Sus scrofa: one gene and its partners. The protein of the gene in region 2 binds, or shares a complex with, the protein of the main gene of each other region. Links are inferred from orthologs where the notes say so. Each region holds a gene or a part of one and is shown on either strand. Other genes may lie near its edges.

Evidence for each region.
Region 1: UPF3B (region 2) and MAGOHB share a complex: the UniProt entries of both Homo sapiens proteins name them as parts of the mRNA splicing-dependent exon junction complex. The link is inferred for Sus scrofa from reciprocal best matches to the Homo sapiens genes UPF3B and MAGOHB.
Region 3: UPF3B (region 2) and MAGOH share a complex: the UniProt entries of both Homo sapiens proteins name them as parts of the mRNA splicing-dependent exon junction complex. The link is inferred for Sus scrofa from reciprocal best matches to the Homo sapiens genes UPF3B and MAGOH.

What each region holds. Positions count from the first base shown.
Region 1 is NC_010447.5:61,428,699-61,431,612, reverse strand, and holds part of MAGOHB (protein mago nashi homolog 2), read right to left. Parts: intron 2,238-2,914; coding exon 2,127-2,237; intron 1-2,126. UniProt on the Homo sapiens protein: Required for pre-mRNA splicing as component of the spliceosome. Plays a redundant role with MAGOH in the exon junction complex and in the nonsense-mediated decay (NMD) pathway.
Region 2 is NC_010461.5:98,189,136-98,192,635, forward strand, and holds part of UPF3B (regulator of nonsense transcripts 3B), read right to left. Parts: intron 2,845-3,500; coding exon 2,684-2,844; intron 2,353-2,683; coding exon 2,058-2,352; intron 1-2,057. UniProt on the Homo sapiens protein: Involved in nonsense-mediated decay (NMD) of mRNAs containing premature stop codons by associating with the nuclear exon junction complex (EJC) and serving as link between the EJC core and NMD machinery.
Region 3 is NC_010448.4:158,991,172-158,994,671, forward strand, and holds part of MAGOH (protein mago nashi homolog), read left to right. Parts: intron 1-439; coding exon 440-498; intron 499-2,147; coding exon 2,148-2,258; intron 2,259-3,500. UniProt on the Homo sapiens protein: Required for pre-mRNA splicing as component of the spliceosome. Plays a redundant role with MAGOHB as core component of the exon junction complex (EJC) and in the nonsense-mediated decay (NMD) pathway.

The sequences.
Region 1 (2,914 bases), on a different chromosome or scaffold from region 2:
TGTGTGTACATGTATAACTGAATCACTCTGTGGTACAGCAATTATCACAACCTTATAAATTAACTATACTTCAATAAAAATGAAAAAATGAAAAAGAAATTGCTCTCCAGAGATGCCATAAAGAAGATACAATCAAATGAATGATATACTTCAGAGTGACACTGGGATGTTCTTTATAATGTCAATAAAAATTAATACTATGGGTATAAGTCTACTTTAAATATGATAAATACATTTATCCTTCCTACCAGACTCTACAGACACATTGCATAATATTAACAACAGAACCACTTTAGCACCTACTGTGTGTTAGAGCCTATGCCAAGGACTTTACATTCTCTGTAATCCTTAAAATTAGGCTAAAAACCCTGACAAGGGTAGGCTTTATTAGCACAATTTTGTGAAATTCAAGACTGCCAAAGCAGAGGAAAAAAATCGTTGATATTTACAATCACTAGTAAATGATAATACAAATTTCTGAACCTTGGATCATAGGACTAAGAAATTCATAGTCTTCTGACTTCAGAAAACAATTAAGAATAAAACAAATGCAACATAATACAGATGCTTCCGGCGTGCCAAAATTACAGTATAAATTTTTCTCCAAATTTTATCTGCAAATCTAAAATGAAAAATTAAAAAGTTATAACTGCTTTCAGTTTAAATTAACAGCTTTTTCAGTTTAAATTAACAGATGCCATTAAAGACACTCCTAGCTATACGCTTGATCAGAAGACCTAATTAGCACCGTTCATAGCACACACAAAATGGAGATTTAACAAAGGCTCTCTAGCGGTCATAAAGTCTGTCTTAAAGATTCAATAGACAATTTCTAGAGCATGAGTAATCCTCCCCACTAATTAAAACGCATGAACACATCAAGTGAGTAGATGAAAACACTGGGTTTCCCTCAATCTAAGAGATGATAAAAGCTTTGTTGCTATAGTTTTTGATTTTTAATGCATATGCATACTTGCATAAGACAAAAAGATCAAAATTTACTTTGTAAAAGTATTTACAGCCCATAAAATACTGATAACTATTACCTTTGCTTTCTTAAATAATGTTTCTTTAAATAGAAGTGTTAAGTTACTGCTACAGAGCGTCAGCATCTGTTAGATTTCTCCACATTTTCTTGTAGTCAAAGGAGCTGTTAAACAGTATAATCCTTGGGAATATACAACAGCGAAATTAAATGTTTCTTCCTCCTGGGGTCATATCTCATTTCTCCAAGAGGTGAAAAGACCCAATTCAGAAATCAAACTGTCTTTCTATAGAGTGAAATTAGGCCTTCAGAGTTCTTCAGCAGCCCTCTGAGAAACATCAATTTTTCTGAAGGGAATATGAGAGGGAAAGGCAATGGTTAGTTTGAACAAAGAAACCAATCAAGTCCCTCTCTGGGGCAAATAAGAATTTCCAAAGTTATAAATCTGAAGAAAGTGAATTTTAGGTAGTTAATGAGAATCCTAATGCTCAAATTTAACAAACACCTGTGTTTTTTTCCTATTGTATTAATTATGAATTTATTATTCCTAATAAAAGTAATTAACCTACAATAGAAATGATTCATAATAGTGTGAAAAACATTGTAACTTTAGCTGGGGCAGCTGCAAAGTTCAGAAAGCATTAATTGACAGCTATGCATTGATTCCTTTACTTATAGGAGTAGCACAGAAAATAAGGCAAAGTGAAATAAAATTAGTATTTACCAGATGCCTACTAAATGGAAAACCCAAAACTCAGTGAGGATCCAGTCTAAACAAATAAGGAGAAACATAACAATTATACTAACAATTTTTATTATTACATATTTAAAGAATTACTAAACATGGGAGTTCCTTCATGGCTCAGCAGTTAATGATCCAACTAGGACTCATGAGGATGCGAGTTCAGTCCCTGGTCTTGCTCAGTGGGTTAAGGATCTGTCACTGATGTGAGCTGTGGTATGGCAACAGACGCCGGCTCAGATCCCGCGCTGCTGTGGCCGTGGCATAGGGGCATAGGCCCACAGCTATAGCTCTAATTCAACCCCTAGCCTGGGAAATTCCATATGCCTCGGGTGCCGCCCTAAAAAGCAAAAATAAATAAATAAATATTTTAAAAATAAAGAATTACTAAATACAAACCTGCCGACCAACCCTGTCAGGAGGAGGCCACAAAGCATCATCTTCCTTTGTAATTTCACTGTCGTCAATAATTCTCTTCAGTTCTTCCATTACACTCTTGTGTACATAAGCCTGAAAATAGGTTATAAAAATTTCAGGGTCTATTCTCCCCATACCTCAGAAAGAAATAATAAAATTACAAATCCTGAGTATTCAAATAGAATATCAAAAAAAAAAAAAAACCCTTAATTCTGATTCTAAAAGCACAAGTTGGGAGAAAATCATCCATCCTTATGATTTTTCTTCACTCCCTTGCCCTTTCCTTTAAATATATATTTTTCCCTCTCCACATCCTAGTCCCTTTTTAAATCTTATCCTCTTCATTTGTAACATGGACTCAAATATTTCAGAATGGTTAATGCAAAATCTACAGGGTGAACAGAGAAAAATACAAATACACATCACAGTTGATACTTTGAACTTTTTCTCACACCTAACTTTTGCACCTCTTATTTAAAATTCATACTGTGTTTAAGTCATGATTATCAATTAGTTTTAAATGACAAATAGGGTAAAAGACAAAGTTAGTTATGAATAAATTAAATAATATGCTCAAATGTGGGACTACAATTTAATATATTCAGATTGCTTCTTTTGTTGTTACAGATGCTACAACTGGAATCCCTTTTCAATCTACAAATTAGCTGCTTTTTTACAGCCTTTAATGTACTTTAAAATATGTAAATAAAAACACAGACAGGAGGAAAATGGGCTTAATGCAAAAAAAAAAATGAAACATTTGAAAAGAA
Region 2 (3,500 bases):
AAAAATAAAAATAAGGAGTTCCTGTTGTGGCGCATCGGAAACGAATCCAACTAGTAGCCATGAGGTTGTGGGTTAATCCCTGGCCTCGCTCAGTGGGTTAAGGATCCAGCATTATTGCCCTGAGCTGTGGTGTAGGTTGCAGACAAGGCTTGGATCAGGCGTTGCTGTGGCTGTAGTGTAGGCCGGCAGCTGTAGCTCTGATTAGACCCCTAACCTGGGAACTTCCATGTGCAGCAGGTGCGGCCCTAAAAAGCAAAAAAATATAAATAAAAAATAAATATTTCAGCTAACATCCTAAGAACAAGGACATCCTTGGAGTTCCCATCATGGCTCAGTGGTTTGCAAAAAAAAAAAAAAAAGGGAGTTCCCGTTGTGGCGCAGTGGTTAACGAATCAGACTAGGAACCTTGAGGTTGCGGGTTCGATCCTTGCCCTTGCTCAGTGGGTTAACGATCCGGCGTTGCCGTGAGCTGTGGTGTAGGTTGCAGACGCGGCTCGGATCCCGCGTTGCTGTGGCTCTGGTGTAGGCCGGTGGCTACAGCTCCGATTCAACCCCTAGCCTGGGGACCTCCATATGCCGCGGGAGCGGCCAAAGAAATAGCAACAACAACAAAAAAAGACAAAAAAAAAAAAGGACATCCTATCACGCAACCATAATACGATTAGTGTTGACCAGTCTTAACATCCTGCTTAAAGGCTACCCTGACATGTGCTTCCTGATAAGATGCAGCAGGAACTGCACACCACCGCCTATGAGGTATTCTCACCGGAAATTGAGATGATGAGGGGGCTGCCTGTTTCGGGGAATAGAGTTTGATTGGCACACAGCCAGGCTCATTCTTTTACATTTGGTCTATGCCTACATTCCTGCAACACTTACTGGTTGTGACAGAGACCATATGGCCCATGAAGTCTAAAATATTTACCATCTGGCCCTTTACAGCAAAAATTCGCTGACTCTGCTCTAGATATGCAGAAAACTGCCGGTTTTTGAGGAAACATAGAAGGTAGAGGAACATGTTAAAAGATACCATAGGGACATAATAGCCAATCTGGACAGTTAGAAGCTCTACATGACAAATTTGTTTCTGCAATAAATAAATGGTAGGAAAACAAAAGGAGGAGGAATTGTTTGGGTTAAAAGAGACTTAAGAGGACATTTCAAGCAAATATAATTTGTGGACCTTGTTTAGAGCCTATAAAAAAGATTGAGACAAGAGTTCCCGTCGTGGTGCAGTGGTTAACGAATCCAACTAGGAACCATGAGGTTGCGGGTTCGAGCCCCGGCCTTGCTCAGTGGGTTAACGATCCAGCGTTGCCGTGAGCTGTGGTGTAGGTCACAGACATGGCTTGGATCCCACATTGCTGTGGCTGTGGTGTAGGCCTGCAGCTACAGCTCCGATTCAGCCCTAGCCTGGGAACCTCCATATACCGAGGGAAGCGGCCCTAGAAAAGGAAAAACAAACAAAAAAAGATTGAGACAATTGGGAAAATCTGAAGAACTGGTAAGATGTTAGGGAACTACTGTCATTCTTTTTCCTAGTCTGAAAATGACATTAGGGTTATTTTATTAAGAAGAGTCTTTAGGGAAGTCCCTGGTGGCCTGCTGGTTAAGGATTTGGTACTTTCACTGCTGAGGCCCAGGATTCAATCCCTGGTCTGGGAACTGAGATCCCACATCAGGCTGGTGCTCACCACTGCCAAAAAAAGTCTTTACTCTTAATACTGACATATTTAAAGAAGAAATGATCTGTCTAGGATTTGCTTGAATATAATCCAGAAGTGGTATGATGGATAGAGTGGAAAGAAGATTGGCCATGAGGTGATAATTGTTGAAGCTGGGTGACAGGTATTATGTTGTTCCTCTGTTCTACTTGTGTGTATGAAATTTCTACAGTACGTTAGTAAAAGGACCCCCACCAAGAATGAAAAAAAGGTGCAGTTAAAGTTCATCTTTAAAAATTCTATAACAAGCAAAAAGTTAGCCCTTTCTTTTACACTTGCAGGAAGAGAAAAAAAATCCTCACGAAAATGAACAAGTTTAACAAAAAGCAGCACCTTGTTTCTTATGCGATCTCTCTTAACCACTTCTTCTTTCTTTTCAGTTTTTTCTGAGCTGCCTACTGGTTCTGTACTTTCAGTCTTCTTGGCTTTATCCCGAAGTGCTTCTTTCTCTTTTTTCATTTCTTCTTCTTTCCTTTTAAAAGCCTTCTCTTTCTCATAGCGCTCCTTCTGCCTGCGGCGCTCCTCTTCCTGCCGCTTCAGCCTCTCTCTCTCCCGCAGTATGCGCTCCTGGTCACGCTCATAATCCCGCTCCCTCTCCCTGTAGTCTCTGCTGCTCTCATCTTCAGGTCTGCACAGAAAACAAATCTGAGAATGCACCCCCGAAGATCTTCGAATCACAAATGCAGGAACACTCTGATCCTGATCTGGCCACTACAATGAGGTGGTACTTTTCGAGCAGCATTAAAAAAAAAAAATGCTAGTATTTTGAAAAACAAACACCCCAAAAGTCAGTCACCCAGATTAAGATGCTAAAATATTTGAAACCTGTCCTCCTCATTCCCCTACCCCTCGTAAAACTGGGAATCTTGATTCAGGTACAAGTCCAGGACACAGCAGTAAAACTAGCCACCTAGAAACATATCAAAAACAAATGTACCAAAGAGCCCTCGACTACCGACCTCTTAGGCTTTTCATCTTTAAATTCACCATCAGGACGCTTGGGCAGTGTACAAGTTTGCCCACTGGCTCTTTCATCACTCAGATTCTCTTTGTCCAATTTTTTGACCTTTTCTCTTTTGTCCAATTCTTTTTCATCTCCTTTTTCTGGCTTCTTGAGCAGCTTTAAAGAGAACAAATTTAAGTTTATTTTGAAGGGTGGGACACTGTCTTCTGATTCTGCCATAGAAAACAATATACTAAATATTTTCAATTTGGGCTAAAGAAGGCCCCTATCTCTGCAGGTACTCTTAAACTTTCAAGTGAACAACTAGGGCAGGAGAGCAGTAATTTGCTAAAAGGATGCTATTAATGTGAAAGTGTTATCCACTCAAATAAAGTGGTTTAATCACTTTGTGGCAATAGGATCAAGACTCCTTTGGCCTTAAATGGGTCAGCTTTTAAGTAAATCAGTGCACACTTCCAAGTATCACTTGACAGAAAAATATGCCACAAATTTCAAATGCTAGGCAGATCATTACTGTTGGACTATTTGCATGTAGTAATTAGAATGACAAATACCTTGGCCACCAAAGGAGAGATCCATTGCAGGAATAATCTTGCCTTGAGTCTGAGAGCAGTAACATACTTATAATGGTATAATCATATTATCATTAGAGATGAAAAGCAAGAATTACTTGGTATTTGTTTTAAAAATCCAAGTACCTCATATAACAGAACTGTGAAGTTCCATCTCTACTGAATAGGAATTCTGCTCAATGTCATATATATATATATATATATATATATATATATATATATATACACACACACACACAC
Region 3 (3,500 bases), on a different chromosome or scaffold from region 2:
CATTTCAAGCTAATGAAGCTTGGACTTTGCTAGGTATGGGAAGATGCAAGAGTCTGGGCACATTGAAATCGTTTCTTTGATAAGCGCCTTAACCATTAGGGCTAATATCCTGTTTTCTCCATCCTGCATCCCCTCAGGATGCACCATGGGAGGCATGGGGGGCTTGGAGGGTGGTATGGCTGCAATGGTTTGACTTGACAGCAGCAACATCCTTTGTTTACTCTTAAGTCTGGTGACATTCTAGGTCCACAATAGCCTAAAGTGAAAAACTGGAAAGACTAGTACTGTTGAAACACAAAAGGTATAGATAGTGAAACTGTTAGACACTTTAAAGGGAAAGTTGCGATACATTTTAAGCAACTGAGGGTCTTGGTAGGCCAATGATGCTTTATTCGTATCTTTTTATTACATACTGAATTTGTTTTTTTTCCCTTCACAGGGAAATTGAGATATGCCAACAACAGCAATTACAAAAATGATGTCATGATCAGAAAAGAGGTAATGAGTCTTCTGAGAGCCTTTCATTCACTACCATTTAGCCTTTTGTCTTGTTTGTATTCTCTCTGGGAATATTATTGAGAGATAAAGAAGAGGAAAGTGTGGGCATATTTGTAGACAGCTTCTAAGTTTTTCTCAAACCTTCTTGTAGTTTATGTTTTCTTCCACAATACTTAATCAATTACTGGTAATCATTTGAAGTCTTGCAAATCTTAGTTTGAACCCTGAACCTGCTGCTTAGACTGTGTGACCTTGGGCATATTTCCTGGTTTAATTTGTTAAGTCTCAGAGTTTTTTTTTTTTTTTTCCTTTTCTTTTCTTTTTTTAATGAATTTTATTGTATTCATAATTGTACAATGATCATCACAACCCAATTTTATAGCATTTTCATCCCAAACCCCCCAGCACATCCCCCCACTCCCCAAGTCTCAGTTTCTTGATCTGCAAAAAAGAGAAAACCTACTCTCCCCCTCACTTGAAGTGTTTTTTGTTTCTTGGGATTTTTTTTTTTTTTTTTTTTTTAGGGCTGTACATGTGGCATGTGGAAGTTCCCAGGCTAGGGGTCAAATCAGAGCTACAGCTGCCAGCCTGTGCCACAGCCACAGCAACGCAGGATTTGAGCTGCATCTGTGACCTACACCACAGCTCACAGCAACACTGAATCGTTAGCCCAATGTTAACCCATTGGGCGAGGCCAGGGATTAAACCTGCAACCTCATGGTTATTAGTCAGATTTGTTTCCACTGCGCCACAATGGGAACTCCCACCGAAAGTGTTTTGGTATATTCCCTGGTACCTAGCACTCCATAGAGCTCTTTTAATTTGCATTTGAATGGGGACCGAGCACATGGGAGAACAGTTAGCATCATTGAATGCATGTTAGATGCCGGGCATAGCACTAGATATTTTACACCTGTGGTGTTATTTTAACCCTTATTCTAAGCCTGTGCGATGGGTGGTATTATATAGCCTTTTACAGATAAGGCCGTGAAGGCCCAGTTATTAATTATGGGGCTTGTTCAAAGTTACCCCTCTGGTAAGAGATTGAGCAGGAATTCAGACCTATGCCTGTCTCTGTCAAGTCCATGTGCTTCATTTTGGCATGAGTTCTACCCCATTAAGGCTTCATCACAGTTATTCTTTCCTTTTTGTCACTTCGCCACATTTGAAAATGTCTTAACAGTTAGTATATTTTCATACTATTATAATTAGCATTCAGTTTTATGTTCCCCACACATGTCCGCATCCACACAGTTTTTTTAAACATGAACTAATATGTAAAATGTATTGCAAATGACATGTCTCTGTTTTTCAGAAGTATGTTATTTACTTAAGAATAACCAGGGGTACTTATAGATTTTTTTGTTTGGGGCTTAAGTGTCAGTTTAGTAGGTAGGCAAAGGGCAGGTCCATTGAACAAGATGAGTCAAGAAAGAGAAACAACTAGGTGTGGGACTGAGGTGTAGTCATTTGGGCCCTTCTGACCCTGCTTTCTTGGCATGCTGAGGTCAAGCTGGAAGGTCTTCCCACTTACAGAGGTGCCAGAAATAAGTTTTCATGAGCAGTCTTTTTTTAATCTTTCACCACTCTCTGAGTCAGAATGCTGCTTAGGGATAAAATTTAAATGCTGCTTTTTAACTTGCTTTCAGGCTTATGTACATAAAAGTGTGATGGAGGAACTAAAGAGGATAATTGATGACAGTGAAATTACCAAAGAGGATGATGCTTTGTGGCCTCCTCCTGACCGAGTAGGTCGGCAGGTGAGTGTTTTACCAACTGTCCACAGTGCAGAAATCTTAACAGATAAGATGAGATTTATTGTTCTGCATGTGACATGGATGCTAGTCAGATTTGTTTCTGCTGAGTCATGATGGGAACTCCAAGTTTAGGATCTTTACGTTTGCCACAGGCTGCCTGGAATATTCTATTCCAGACTGTCTGTTATTGAGGTTTCAAGTGCATTTCCTCAGTGATGTCTTGCCTGTCCATTCAATCTAAAATGCCTTTCCCCATTAAAAAAAAAAAGTATGGGTTTTGTCTTCATAGCCTTTTTTGGGGGGGGGGGGCTGTACCTGCAGCATATGGAAGCTTCCAGGCTAGGGGTCCAATCAGAGCTGTCGCTGCCGGCCTACACCACAGCTCATGGCAACACTGGATCCTTAACCCACTGAGCGAGGCCAGTGATTGAACCCATGTCCTCATGGATGCTAGTCTGGTTCGTTAACCGCTGAGCCACGACGGGAACTCCCGAGCATGCATAGCTTTTATCTTTATCTGAAATTGTCTTGTATCCCTTTTTCTTCTCTACTACAACAGACATAGACATACATGTGCAAACTCCTTCAGTACAAGGATTTTACCTGTTTTTTTCCCCCACTGCTATATTTCTAGTGACTAAAATAGTGCCAGTGTATAGTAAAAACTCTATAACACTTATATTTATTAAGTTAATATGAAAACTCATATAAGCTTACTCTAGTTAATCTCAAAACGATGGGACAGCTCTTGAGGAAGAGTGAAAAAAGTCCATCCTCAGTGCTTAAGTTAACTTATTATGTCCATGAGATCTTAGTAAGACCATGTGGATGTATTTTGCTTTAGGATTGATAAAATTTTCAACTGTATTAATTCATTTAACATTCACAACTGTTCTGTAAAGAGAGCAAGGCATACTGCCATATACCAGCAACATCCTACTGGATAGTGTAATTAAAAACAAAATTCTATTCATAATAGCAACAAAAGCTGTAAGTAAAGTTGGGAGTAAATTTAACAAGGTGTACAAAACTTAAGGGGAAGAGCTTTATAGAAGGACATAAAAATATGTATCATTTTTATTGTTGGGAAGACTCAGTATTATATCAATTTTCACCAAAATAATTTACAAATTCATTGCAATTCAAATCAAAATCACAATAGTATTTTTTTCCTAGAGCCTAACAGAACATTAGAATTCATGGAAGAACAAAGGGGCAAGAGTAGCCAAGATAATTTTGAAGATT